3 linked regions of the Arabidopsis thaliana genome follow. The protein of the gene in region 1 interacts with the protein of each later gene in a pairwise test. Each region holds a gene or a part of one and is shown in the gene's direction. Other genes may lie near its edges.

The links.
Region 2: the proteins of PYE (region 1) and UNE12 interact in a two-hybrid assay, tested with the Arabidopsis thaliana proteins (one large-scale study listed by BioGRID).
Region 3: the proteins of PYE (region 1) and AT5G51790 interact in a two-hybrid assay, tested with the Arabidopsis thaliana proteins (one large-scale study listed by BioGRID).

Annotation. Positions count from the first base shown.
Region 1 is NC_003074.8:17,565,423-17,569,938, forward strand, and holds PYE (basic helix-loop-helix (bHLH) DNA-binding superfamily protein), read left to right. Parts: upstream 1-1,703; 5' UTR 1,704-1,780; exon of another isoform or gene 1,781-1,782; intron 1,783-2,053; exon of another isoform or gene 2,054-2,271; intron 2,272-2,423; 5' UTR 2,424-2,455; intron 2,456-2,572; 5' UTR 2,573-2,612; coding exon 2,613-2,671; intron 2,672-2,761; coding exon 2,762-2,865; intron 2,866-2,973; coding exon 2,974-3,101; intron 3,102-3,247; coding exon 3,248-3,679; 3' UTR 3,680-3,963; downstream 3,964-4,516. Other genes in the region: AT3G47650 (DnaJ/Hsp40 cysteine-rich domain superfamily protein), read left to right, coding at 4,154-4,321, 4,417-4,483.
Region 2 is NC_003075.7:1,136,934-1,142,345, reverse strand, and holds UNE12 (basic helix-loop-helix (bHLH) DNA-binding superfamily protein), read left to right. Parts: upstream 1-1,805; 5' UTR 1,806-2,039; coding exon 2,040-2,402; intron 2,403-2,806; coding exon 2,807-2,929; intron 2,930-3,093; coding exon 3,094-3,159; intron 3,160-3,245; coding exon 3,246-3,311; intron 3,312-3,985; coding exon 3,986-4,066; intron 4,067-4,144; coding exon 4,145-4,378; 3' UTR 4,379-4,859; downstream 4,860-5,412. UniProt on the Arabidopsis thaliana protein: Required for ovule fertilization.
Region 3 is NC_003076.8:21,037,622-21,042,171, forward strand, and holds AT5G51790 (basic helix-loop-helix (bHLH) DNA-binding superfamily protein), read left to right. Parts: upstream 1-1,911; 5' UTR 1,912-1,945; coding exon 1,946-2,317; intron 2,318-2,431; coding exon 2,432-2,785; coding exon of another isoform or gene 2,786-2,824; exon of another isoform or gene 2,825-2,889; coding exon 2,890-2,973; 3' UTR 2,974-3,997; downstream 3,998-4,550.

The DNA of each region.
Region 1 (4,516 bases):
TGCGACTGCGAGTGAAGGCGGCGAAGAGCGAGGAAGAACAACAAACGCCGTGAAGCTAGCTTTTTTGGGTTTGGGCCAAACGAGATTAGTTTCTAACAGATGTTTTTCCGGACCCGGACCGGTAATACCCACGATCCGCTTAATTATTTGGTCCCTGTCTAGCTCTAAAATCCCGGTGCAAACGAACCGGCAAAACCAACGACCTAGCGGTTCGGTATTTTGTTTCTGAAATCTGAACCCTCCGATTTGTTCTTCTTTTTTTTTTTCTTTTTATAATGCAAACAATTGATGAAAAAATATATTATGGTCCGAATGGTAACCTCGGTTTTTAATATGTGAGAAAAGTGGTATAACATTGCAGTACAGTTCAATTACGGTACGTGCGAGAAAAATATATTTGCGGGACAAATATGGTTTGTACAAAATAAGCGGTACAGAATAATGTTTGATTGATGAAAAAATTATTTGCGGTGCGGATTATAAATTATATATATATATATATATTAATAATTAATTATTATTTTTGTGTTAATAAATAAGCAATAACATATATTTATAAATTATTAATACATAAATAAATCAAAATATACATTTTTAAAGTTTAACATACATATTATTAAATTCGTTGAATAGTTTCATCATAAAAAATTGAAAAAAAAATCATAATTTTTTACTAGTAAATTGATTATAGAACTTATATAAGCTTATAGTGGATAATAATTGTCAAAATTTCTATAAGTATTATGATATTTCTATTTCTTGTAATTACATTTTCTTAGATTTTAATTAAATAAAAAGAATAAAACTATAATTATTGCATATATATATATATATATATATATATATATATATATATATTAAAGTCCATTAGTTAAGCAAATTGTTATGTCCTACGTATATTTTTTTCTTTTATGCACTAGGTAACTAGTGATTCTGATGCACACATATACTCTCTTTTTTTGTACATATATTTAAATGGGGAAGCTAATGGAAAAAAAATTAAAATTTGCTTAAGTAATGGAGTAATAAACGAGGGATGTGTGTATGGAAGAGGCAAAGGCTGAGAAACTTTTGGTTGGGACGTAGGACATAACAATTTGCTTAAGTAATGGAGTAATGAACGATTTTTTTGTTGGAATGCGGTTTTGAGCAAAAACACTAGGTAAATGATTTTTCTTCTTTTGAAAAGCATTCCAGTGTATTGTTTTTAGGACAAAATTGCAAACTTTTTTCTTTTTTTTTTCGAAAAACGCAAATTTGTTAAAAGTATTGATTGGTAACTGTATTGTAGTTTTAATAAAAAAACAAGAAAACGCCTTTTGTATGTTTCTTAATCACAGTGTATGAATGGTGACATAGACCGCCCCCAAAACCGTACCGTAACTGTAACAGTATAAAAAATCTCTATATATACATATATATCTATGTATTTTTGTTATTATTTGAACCGTCCCATACTTTTTCCGTATCACAAAATACAGTCATCATTCGAACCGCAAAACTATATATAGTATTTCGGTTTTTGAATTCAAAATGAAGGAGAAGAGGAATAGGCAGATTAATATAATTTCGTTATTTCTTTTTAATTTCCTATCTTCAATTTTTCCTCACCCACTGAATTTGACTATGCCATTAAAAATGTGTATACTAATCATCATACCGTCAATAAATAGAGTTTGTGGGAAACACACGACAGACACGTCATCAGCTCTCGACGGCGCGTTTCCATGCCTTTATTATCCTTCACGTTGACCCCACATGCCCCTGTTTTTTTTTTTTGGTGTTCTACGGTATATTTTTGTGAAAATGTTACTTTTCATCTACTCGATAAAATTCTTAAACAGATAGTACAACTTTTTACCCGATTAATCTGTAGAAAATACAATGTTATTTACACTCAACAAACATTTCCATTAATAGAACTTTACCCGATTTAAACCACTCTTCCACTCGATTAATATTATTATTTTATTAATTAAAGATACGATGACGTGTCCATGAGAGATGAGCTTTAGTGGCACGCAACGTAAGAGAAGAAGACAAAAGTAAAAAAGAGAAAGGCACATGTCGAACTCACGTGTCCACTTAAACGCACCACCTTCTTCTGTGCTCTCCACGCGCCTCCACACGCCCTCCTCAACTTCGGACCTTCTTCCTCCAAAAAAAACAATTTCACTCTTCATTTTCTCAGATTCTCTTATTATTTCTTCTACTCGTTTCGAATCCTAATCGTCTACAGTTTCCGACGAGATTCTCACCGGAGAAAGAAAGGTAGTTCTTTTCTCTGAATCTGTTGTGTTGAGAACTTAGCCGTAATTTTTGAGAATTATTCTTCACTATTTGATTTGACAAGAATATGGGTAATAAAGACAGAATCTAAAACACTTGCTTCAGTTTTTGAGGAATCAAAAATCACACGAAAGTTTTTTTTTTTTTTCTGCTCCTATGTTTCTTGGTGCGTTTGTGTTTATTTGACATTAGGAGTGATTGATTGATTATAAAGATGAATGATTTGTTAGATTCATTAAGATCACTGTTCTTTTTGATTAATCATCTTATGTCTAAATTTTAGGTGACTTGACAGAGAATCTTGTTCTGTAATAAAAGCAAAGATGGTATCGAAAACTCCTTCTACATCGTCTGATGAAGCAAATGCTACTGCAGATGAAAGGTGATTCTTAAGGAGACAATTCTTGGAAATAGATTATGGAACCTTTTATTTTTATTTATGGGGATTGATTATGTTTGGTGTATAAAACAGATGTAGAAAAGGTAAAGTACCGAAAAGGATCAACAAGGCCGTTCGTGAGAGGCTTAAGCGTGAGCATTTGAATGAGCTTTTCATTGAATTAGCCGATACTCTTGGTAAATTTCTCATCTTTCCGTAGATTTGAATGAACAATTGCTCGAGTGTGTTGTGATATTTTGAATGTGATTGTGATATCTAACTGTGAACATGTTTCTTTGTTGCAGAACTGAATCAACAGAACAGTGGGAAAGCTTCTATACTATGCGAAGCTACTCGATTCTTGAAGGACGTGTTTGGTCAAATTGAGTCTCTTAGAAAGGAGCATGCTTCTCTCCTATCTGAATCTAGCTATGTAAGTCAATTTCTATATGCACATTGATTGTGTTTATGTATTCTGTGACGTGAATCAACAACTAAGACGAATGTTGCTTCAAGAAGTTACTTCATCTTTGTATTTTTCTAAATGGTCTTGTTGATGGAAACTGGTGTTGTGTGTAGGTAACCACAGAGAAGAATGAGCTCAAGGAAGAAACATCAGTGCTTGAGACTGAGATTTCGAAACTACAAAACGAGATTGAAGCTAGAGCGAATCAGTCGAAACCTGACTTGAACACCTCTCCTGCACCCGAGTACCATCATCATCATTATCAACAACAACATCCTGAACGTGTATCTCAGTTCCCAGGACTTCCCATTTTCCAAGGCCCCGGCTTTCAACAATCTGCTACAACTCTTCATCCTCCTGCAACAGTTCTTGTCCTTCCAATACAACCTGATCCCCAGACACAAGATATCTCAGAAATGACTCAAGCGCAGCAGCCTTTGATGTTTAATAGCTCAAATGTGAGTAAGCCATGTCCAAGGTATGCTAGCGCGGCTGACTCGTGGTCTTCTCGGCTACTTGGAGAGCGGCTGAAAGCCAGTGAATGAGGTCTTGAACGGCTCCACATGGAGTAGCAACGCAAGTTATAAGACATGGCAACTTATGAAGGACTCTGGTTTTGTATTTTTTAATACATCGTTCTGATGTCCTTGTGGGTTTGGCCTTGGCTATTTCTTGTTTTTGATGGTTGTTCATAGGATCAGGAAGTTATGGCCTTGATGGGTCGTTTGAGATAAATAAGTAAATTAGCTCTAACCATTGTCATTTTCTTTTGTCTTAAGATTCTAAAAACACAGAAACAGAACAAAAAAAATCAAATTTCTTTTTAAGAAAAAAGCTTTCTAATGGAAACTAAAATGTGAAATTGGGTTTAAAAGACAAAACCGGTTAATAGGTTTTGGTTTGGATTGGATAAAGAATATGATGGTATTTTGGTAAAATAGGCACTTGAGAAAAAGAGAAGTGAGAGGAGCCATCTTATCTTTGCTATCGAGTGGGTAAGAAGAATCAGAAAACAGAAAATGGCGAATTCACTATGCTTCTTCTCTTCTCCTCCTACCTTTTGCTTCCAATCTCCAAGCAAAAACCCTAAACCTTCTCACTTCTTCTCAACTAATGATAACACCTCTTCCTTGGTACAGAAGAGAGAACTGCTTCAGACTTCAAGATCCCAAAGTTTTGAAGTTAAGGTTAGAATTTTCCCAAACTCTTCTCTTCTCTATAAAATTTGCTTACTTCATTGACCATTTCGTTAATGCAAAATCTCATTCTGTGGTATCAATAGGCCGCAAACAATAATCCTCAGGGCACTAAACCAAACAGTTTAGTTTGTGCAAATTGTGAAGGGGAAGGTAAGTTCTTACCTGTTTTATAATTCTCTTAGT
Region 2 (5,412 bases), on another chromosome or scaffold:
TTTTTAAAACAATTTTAAAGCCTTTAAAAATCTTTAAAAGACTTTTGTAAATTTTTGAAATCCCTTTAAAATCTATTGTAAATTACCCTTTTAAAATCCCTTGTAAATCTTATAAAACCCCTATAAAATCCCTTGTAAATCTTTTAAAACTCTTTTAAAATCCCTTGTAAATCTATTTCCCGCCAAAAAAAAAAAATTGGCGGGAAAAATATGTTTGAAAACAAATTTTGGCGGGAAATTTATTTTGGAATATTTTTGGCGAAAAAATATTAATTTTTCATTTTGTTAACCTAAAACAATTTCCAAATAAGGGTAAAATGGTCATTAAAAATTTAAAGAGGGTAGAAATAAAATTGGATAAAACAAAAGGGTAAAGTTGAAAAAGGGCATCATGAAAAGGGCATTAGAAAAAAAAATTCTTAAAGGGATAATAATTAATATATTAAACTATTAAGTTGATTAACTGATTTTTTTTGTGTTAATATATTATCAAAACAAAACTTGTTTTTTTTTTTTTTTTTTTTTCATCCAAAACAAAACTTGTTTTATTTATTGATTTTTGTAAATAACTGTTTTTCTTAGCTTTTATTACTTCTTATGTTGGATGTTCGTGTTTGGTCTGAGAATTACCTCCTTAAGCACAAGTTGTTCCTTTATAAATGAGCTCCATTTAGGCATAATGATGTGAACCCTTTAGTTTTTGTTGGTGTAGACTCAAATTAGAGAGAGGAGTCGCTGAGATTGATAAGCTAGCAAACAGAATCTTCCATATCGACAAGCTTGGGAATCAACCTGAATTGTGATAGAAGAGAGAAAACATTTTCTAGGAAACTAAATTGTCTCTTTTGAATTTGAAATACTTTATTTGGAGCTTGTTTGCTTAGCGCATATCTCGAATTTGATTATATCTCGCAAGATAATTATGTGACGTTTTTGAATTATGTAAACATCTCAATAAGTGATATAGGAAAATTTAACTTACAAACAGAAAAATAAGCGATTTTTTCAATACATTCTAATAGTTGAATACATTAATTAGAATTAGGAGGGATACAATAATAGATAACTACAATTCATTCGTCATGTTCTAAAAATAGAGAGCAATAAGTACGACGGACAGTACCGTCACTACTTGGCGTCATGGTAGATAGGTAGTGGATCTGCTAGATATATGAGAACGGAAAGAACCAGAAGCTATTAGAGGCGGGAGGAGATATGTGGGGATGATTTCAGTGCAATTCCACGACGCACCATTTCCACTTTCGTAACACCTAAACGACCGCTTCGGCCGTATAAAATCGCAAATGTTTGGTCTCAGTGTATTTTTCCAATTTCCAAATACATCAATTCAAATTATATAATATCTAGTGGCAATTATAAGTATATCATATATTTTCAAAATTAATTAAAAAGATTACTAAATTATGTTTGACTACAACTATTATAATAGTTAAAAACATAAACAAAAACAAAGAAACTATTTTAATAAAAAAATCAAGTAAACATTAAAACATAAGCAAAAAATAATGTTAAAGAAATTATTAATTATTAATTTACTAATAATTAATACCTCTATAAATTAATTGTTAGAGGTTTAACGTAATTTATAAGGAAAACTAAAGAAGACTTTAACCCATAAAGAAAAAAACAAAGACTGAATTGAAGGCCCATATTTAGAAGAAGAGAAAGAAGACCCAAATATGATATAAAATCCAGCCCATTTATATATTTTTATTTTGTTTCTGGAAGGAAAATAAGAAAATGGCAAAAACGAAATAATCTGAAAAAGTAAGGTCTTTTACCAAAAAGGATATTTTTTTTATAAACAGAGCATAAAGTTTTCACTTTTCTTCTGCTCCTTTCTCGTCTCTGTCTTCTTCGTCCTCATTCGTTTTAAAGCATCAAAATTTCATCAACCCAAAATAGATTAAAAAAATCTGTAGCTTTCGCATGTAAATCTCTCTTTGAAGGTTCCTAACTCGTTAATCGTAACTCACAGTGACTCGTTCGAGTCAAAGTCTCTGTCTTTAGCTCAAACCATGGCTAGTAACAACCCTCACGACAACCTTTCTGACCAAACTCCTTCTGATGATTTCTTCGAGCAAATCCTCGGCCTTCCTAACTTCTCAGCCTCTTCTGCCGCCGGTTTATCTGGAGTTGACGGAGGATTAGGTGGTGGAGCACCGCCTATGATGCTGCAGTTGGGTTCCGGAGAAGAAGGAAGTCACATGGGTGGCTTAGGAGGAAGTGGACCAACTGGGTTTCACAATCAGATGTTTCCTTTGGGGTTAAGTCTTGATCAAGGGAAAGGACCTGGGTTTCTTAGACCTGAAGGAGGACATGGAAGTGGGAAAAGATTCTCAGATGATGTTGTTGATAATCGATGTTCTTCTATGAAACCTGTAAGTTCTGTTCTTGCTTTGGTGTTTGATTATTAGAAATGGGAAGAAATCGAATTTGAGGGTTTTGAAGAGAACATTTTTGGTAACTTTTGTTTTAGTTTTTGATTTGTGGTAAGTAACTTTAACAAAGTTGATGATTTGCGTTATGTGCTTTATTTTGGCTCAGACTTGTTGAATCTAATCGATTTTGGTTTGTTTAGTAAACTAAGGTTAGCTCTTGTTACTCTATGAGCAACTTCTCACTAGTTCATGTAGCTGCGTGGCTTATCTTGCCTTCTAAGTTGGTCAAATGAGTAATCTTAAGGGTCTAACTTAAATTATTCTCTTACAACTAATGGAGTCAAATCCTTGTGCAAATGGTTTATTTTCGTTTGGTCTTATTTCTTCTGTGTGTTGTCTGGAAGGTTTTCCACGGGCAGCCTATGCAACAGCCACCTCCATCGGCCCCACATCAGCCTACTTCAATCCGTCCCAGGGTTCGAGCTAGGCGTGGTCAGGCTACTGATCCACATAGCATCGCTGAGCGGGTATATTTCAGATTCTCTTTTGTATTTCCCTGTGATATACTATGTTGGTGGCGAGTTGGTTGTAGTTGAAAATATGTTTCGGATATAAAAAAATGTTAACATTGTGTAATGATCTCTTGATTTTATGGAGGGATTACCTAAAAGTTTGTTTTACTTTACCACAGCTACGTAGAGAAAGAATAGCAGAACGGATCAGGGCGCTGCAGGAACTTGTACCTACTGTGAACAAGGTCTGTACCTTTCACCCTAACCCTCACCTGTATATAATTTCTCTAGAAAGTTTGACACTTTCTGTTTCTCCCGTCTTCGTGTGCAGACCGATAGAGCTGCTATGATCGATGAGATTGTCGATTATGTAAAGTTTCTCAGGCTCCAAGTCAAGGTATATTCTTCTCTCTTCTGCAGTTTTAAACTCGAACTCTCTTTCTTGTGAATTATCTTATTACTCCCTATGCAATATGTTTAATCTGTTTGTTCATAAGATTAGAGATCTAAAGATCATGTCTTTCAAATTCTCTGGATGGATTTTTGGTGTTAATTCTGGTCCCACCATTACCTACCCTTCAACCAAATTTCAATCTGATTAGATCAGTTATTTAATGTGGGAAAGAATAAACAAGTCCAAAATGCTTTTGTTTTCTTTGGCATTTAGTCTCTTTTCACTTTTTGTTTTGTCATAGGGAGCCTAATCACAGTTTATGATTATAATACCATATTCAACAATAATTACAATCATCATGTTCACATTATAATATAGTAATCTGGTAGATCATCAAATGCTTCTTATATCAAAATGCAGTCGGTTACTTAAAGCTCTCGCAAGCGAAAAAAGGAAGTCTCTTTACTTTATAAGATAATGGAGACACTAAAGAAACAGAATGCAATGATGGATTTCTGATAAGATAATACATCTTTTGTTTTAAAAATAGAAAATGTGTTTCTTGTGAAATCTTCCATGCTCATCTAAAAGTAAAAGCTTTTTTTATATATATAATTTTCATGGGGTGAAGCTTATCACTTTCAATGATATCTGTTTCTCTTTGTCAACTTTGGTAGGTTTTGAGCATGAGCCGACTTGGTGGAGCCGGTGCGGTTGCTCCACTTGTTACTGATATGCCTCTTTCATCATCAGTTGAGGTAAAAACTTTTTAAGAACAAAAAGTAAAAACTTTAGTAATGGGGTTTTGATTCAGATTTTGCTTAAAATGTCAATAGGATGAAACGGGTGAGGGTGGAAGGACTCCGCAACCAGCGTGGGAGAAATGGTCTAACGATGGGACTGAACGTCAAGTGGCTAAACTGATGGAAGAGAACGTTGGAGCCGCGATGCAGCTTCTTCAATCAAAGGCTCTTTGTATGATGCCAATCTCATTGGCAATGGCAATTTACCATTCTCAACCTCCGGATACATCTTCAGTGGTCAAGCCTGAGAACAATCCTCCACAGTAGGATTTCTGCAATAAAGAGTTTGTACAGCTAATCCAACTGTCCAACATGGGTTTTTCTTCTGCTCTAATGACTCTGGTTTCTTCTCTCCTCTCTCACCCACTTGAAAGGTAAAAAAGTGAAAAAGGCTTTGTAGATGGAATCAATGTAGGATTTGCAGTAGAGGGAAAAAAAATGTCAAAAAGCTCAATTGATCAAGTATTATTGTAATCATTGTACCTTTATTTTAGGTGGACTTTGATGAAAGCAACTTTTTGTTTTCAAGACTTTAGTGGGAGGTTGAGGAAGGAGCTTGAAGGGTGTTATTTATTAGTAGTAGTAGTAGTGGGAAGTTGTGGGACCTTGTTGAGTTGTGTTCAAATTGAAGAAAAAACAAGTATTTGTAATTTGTCACCCCTTGTATTATTATTTATTTTGTATGACTTTGGAGTAGTATAATTAATTATCAAATAATATTATTAGTTTGATCTAGTAACCATCCTTTGTTTGATAACACTAGAAACATAAAGCAAATATTTTAGGAGAAAGTACCATGAATTGTGCTTCTTTTTTTTAGTGGTACGTGTACAATTTTAACTTCCAAATCTCAAATGCTAAGATATATACACTTTGGACAGAACATGTATCAATTTAAACTTGCATGTTTACATTTTGCATTGATTAGTGAAGACAAAATACAACTTTTATTAATATTGTTAGTTTTGGAAAAATATAGCCAAAAAAAAAACTCATCGAAGAATTAAAGTTATTGATATGATTATTTCATGTGATTCATTAAATCATTCTGCCAAATTTATTTTTTGAGTAAAGTTTGGAAAATCTTGTGTCTTTTGAAGTAACAGATAAAAGTTTTGTTTTTATTACAATTTCACATGAATCTTAGAGTGAGATAATAATAAACGAAGATGATTTGGCAATTTGTTTAAAATGGGTCTAAATTCCAAAACCAAGAAGACTACAAAGAGTATGCAAACTCAATTTGATGCGGTACAGGCGTCAAACATACATCGCTATAGCCTTTGCGTTATTGAACCACA
Region 3 (4,550 bases), on another chromosome or scaffold:
TTTGGAATTTTCCGATAATTGTTTTTAATTATTTTAAAATATTATGAAATTAAATTCAAATTCGATTTATAAATAAGAATCTTGTATTTATACAACTCGGAAGCTCTAGTTATCGTTATTATTTTCTTTTCTCTCAACCTATTAGAAACTATCACTAGGATCATCAAAATCAAAGATTTATCGAGTAAATCTCCCAAAAACGAATCGACTAGATTTTCTGTTTCCGATCAAAACTATTGTTTTAAGACTTTAAGTAGTCCCATACTAAAAAAAAAAAAAAAAAAAAAAAAGTAGTCCCTTACTACATCAAATTCGTCTTCCTTGACGGCAGTTCTACTGTTTACCTTTCTAACAATTTGATTAGAAAATACTGTTAGATTATTATAAGTGGTTGGTTTGTAACTGAACACGGCTTACACACAGAACAAAAATCAAACTTGAGGTTATAATGAATAACTACATAAACTCACATGTGGCATAATGCATGCTCGAAATAATTTGGGAGAGTGGGATCCATGAGATGCTAATGAGGCTGGGATATTTTAGGACAAATGAAACAGCTGGTTTCCATCTATTAATAACCAGGATCTTTCTTGTCTCCTCTTCCACCTTGTCTTGAAGTTGCATGAGCTGTCCTAGGCCTATCTTTTAACTATGTCCACTCCACTTCACTCATCCTATCCACTTAGCTTATCCCCATTATTAAATGTGTCTCCCTTGGTTTTACTATTTATCTTTATCATATTTTGATTGAAAAATATCGTGAGGTTAGTTTCTAGAAGTTTTACCCGATGACAATCGAAATTGCCAAAACAACAAAAGAAACTGATAAGATATTTTCTCTGTCCAAGTGAATGAGAGTGAATTCCCAATATTTTTAAATGATGTTTGTATTCTTGTTCTCTTTTTTTTTTCATTTAACTGTTATGGGATATGTACGTAATTTTCCGCAATTCTAATGTATACTATAACAATATGATTTTCATGCTTAGACTGCGTTAGAAAGTTCGGTTATAATACTGACAACATTTGTGTGTTCATTGATACTGCGAACATCTTCACAAACATATTGATAAATAATCTCTTCTCTTGCATGAGATTATATTATTTGAGTACATGTACACGTTCTTATTTGCCGAATGTTCTTTGTTGCCACCATAAAGTTTTATTGGGCCAAAACTAATAGAAACCACACATAATCATTTCGTTGTTTTGTGTTTTTGTCAAACAAATCACACATAATTCAACGACAAACTTTCTAATTTGAGCAACCTCTTTATCTCCTTGAAAGTTTCTATGGAGAATTCTACCGATTAGTCGACTCATGACTATTCATCCATTATCACAATTGACAAATCCAGATATTTTGATCAAATATCATTTGATTTTTTTGTTCTATCTCGAAGCAGATACCAGTGTACCATAAGAAAAAAATGCTTCATTAGTCATCTTCAAATCACATGCAAAAATTTGGAAGAAAACTGAAAACAATTTGCATGATAGATCATAATGTTCAAGCAAAAATAAATAAATCCAAATGTGATAAAATGTATAGATATTCACATTGATCTTACTAGTAATATTATATATTTTCTAAAGTTAATTAAAATGTTCTATGTATTTTTTTATATATGAAACACATCATATAAAAGAAAATTGGAATGTAAATTCCAGATCTTGATCCATATAAATATATCAAGATTTATATCGATCAAGATCATATTGGGATCCGTTTTAGACTAATCAAGATTTTACCATTCATATTTCTTGGATATCTGAAATTATAAAGCGCGTCAGAAAATCTTCTACAAGACACTCCCAACATTAAAAAGCCAGAGAAATGATTTGCACACACTCGCTAGTTATATACATACAAAGCATAAAGTTCTGTCACGTGTAAAAGAGCTTGTGAAACATTACAGCAAACCAAACTATTTGACTAAAGATGAAAACAACACCTCTCCCGAGGCTGCATTATTTAGTAAGTCTTCTTTGTTTTTTTCTTTCTTCCAAGATTAAAGAAGACAGACCCAATTATGTAAGGGCAGTCTCTCCTATAAACCTAACTAGTTCATTGGAAAAAACAAGAGAGAAAAAAAAACGATTACTGCTGAGATCTACCATTTCTAAACCTCAACCCATGAATCCTTCTAACAATCCTAAAAAGACAAGGCACCAGAGTCATATGCCTCAAGAAAGAGATGAAACGAAGAAGGAGAAGAAGCTTCTCCACCGCAACATCGAACGACAAAGAAGACAAGAAATGGCGATCCTTTTCGCCTCTCTTCGTAGTCAGCTACCTCTAAAATACATCAAGGTACATATATTTTACTCCAATAGTCTCATTGAAGTCCCAATCTTCCTATCAAGTTCATTGATGGGAGATTTTTGTTCTCTAGGGTTTTAGTTTTCTCAGGCTCTTTCTTCGCAGGGAAAGAGAGCCATGTCAGATCATGTAAACGGAGCAGTAAGTTTCATCAAAGACACGCAAACAAGGATAAAAGATCTCTCCGCAAGAAGAGACGAGCTAAAGCGAGAGATTGGTGACCCTACTAGTCTAACTGGATCCGGATCCGGATCTGGATCAAGTAGATCGGAACCAGCTAGTGTCATGGTGCAACCGTGTGTGAGCGGCTTCGAGGTGGTTGTGAGCAGCTTAGCATCAGGTCTCGAGGCTTGGCCACTCTCAAGAGTTCTTGAAGTTCTTCACGGGCAAGGACTTGAAGTCATCAGCTCTTTAACAGCACGAGTCAACGAGAGGCTCATGTACACTATACAAGTCGAGGTACGGTTACATATTTGGAGTTATTGTAGAGTTTTTTAGTGTAAGCTTATCTATTGTGTAAATATGCTTATTCTTATGTATCCATATATATGATATATCCACAGGTAAATAGCTTTGATTGCTTCGACTTAGCTTGGTTGCAGCAGAAGCTAATTGAGCAGTTAGTACTTTCCACGACTAGGCACTGAAAAAACTAACATTTGTCATAAGAATATGTTCATTGAATGATGCTTTTGTCCCAATCTCTTTGTTTTAGTGTCCGTAAGGGTGTGTTCTTTTGGTCCTTCACTACTTGGAGTGATTTTTTTTTTTTTTTTTGTAAAAATGATCTGGTTGATTAGATTGAATTAGCAAATTCTAAACTTTCATGCATGCTTCTTTATATAGGAGAATCTTTTGATCACCAACAAAACAAAAATATAGTGATGCGCCTGATTTCTTTATACATTTTTGAATATATATATTCATCAATCGATGATAAAGACTAGAGTCTCATCGGTGTCTTTTTATACTTCATATGCATGAACCATAGTTGATAGATATTTTGAACATAGCATACATACACTTCTCTGAGACTTACCAATGAAGATATTTTATGAGAGGAGCATGGTAATGCAGGTTAAATAATGGAGCAGCTGCCATTCAACATTAGTAGATATCTTGTGAGTTTTACTGACTAAATTCGTACGACATTGACCTATAGCTAGGAACAAACACTGATCAAAAGAAACTTTCATTTGATTAACCCGCATATATATTAGTAGATAATATGGCATGCACATAATTTGATTTGACTCACGGTTTTCAAGTTTTCTAATCATGCCATATTTTGTTCATAAATGAAATTACATGACATTACTGAAATATATGGAAAGGAATACTGAAAACGTTTTTTTGGGTTAAGAAGAAGAAGAAAGTACATTCAAATATTCATCTATATTTTATAGTGACGTATATATAACTCTAGGTTTCTTTTGCCTCTTCGGCCTCAACCAGAAGCACTGAAGCACTGAAGCACATAAACAGTATCGCATAACTTCGGTCATATATATTTTGCCGTTGAATAATTTTTCTTAGATTTATGTAAAATTATGGCTTAAATACATCTTAATTATATAAAAATTAGCGAGGATGGCAGTCGAATGTTAAAGCAATAAAGATACGATTGAGTGGTTGAGATCTCCCTAATATACTTTTGATTTAATTATTGTTAGTTAATGGTTAAGTACAAAGATGCTGTCCAACGAATTCATGATCTTCAAATTGGATTATGTTCTAATAAAGACAGCCTAATTAGACCAATACTTAAATCAATTGTTGGTGATGCGTGGTTAAATAATATTCTGATGACAAAAAAACATAATTTTATTTTTTAAAAGTCCCTTTTCCAGAAGAAAAAAAGTTATAAGAAAAAGTTTAGCATATCCGAATTGACTAGTTCTATCTATAATTCAAGTGGATGACCGTAAAGCTTAAAAGAAAATGTCTATGCCCGATCCCTAAATTTCGAATTTATTTATAACAAAAAATTTGGTAAACTATTTATTTATTAATAATAAATTGGTCACATATATTCCGATTTTTAGTTCGAGAAGTACCCTTTTATGAATCTGAAATCCAATTATCGAGGGCACGATTTAAGACAGCTCACCTAATCATAAATAGTGGAAGAAAAAAGCTCTAATCTTACGTATGTATGAGTTTCTGGCTTTAGAAGAGTTAATTAACCTAAAGTTATCTAGTTGAGTGTTGTGTGAGTGTGAGG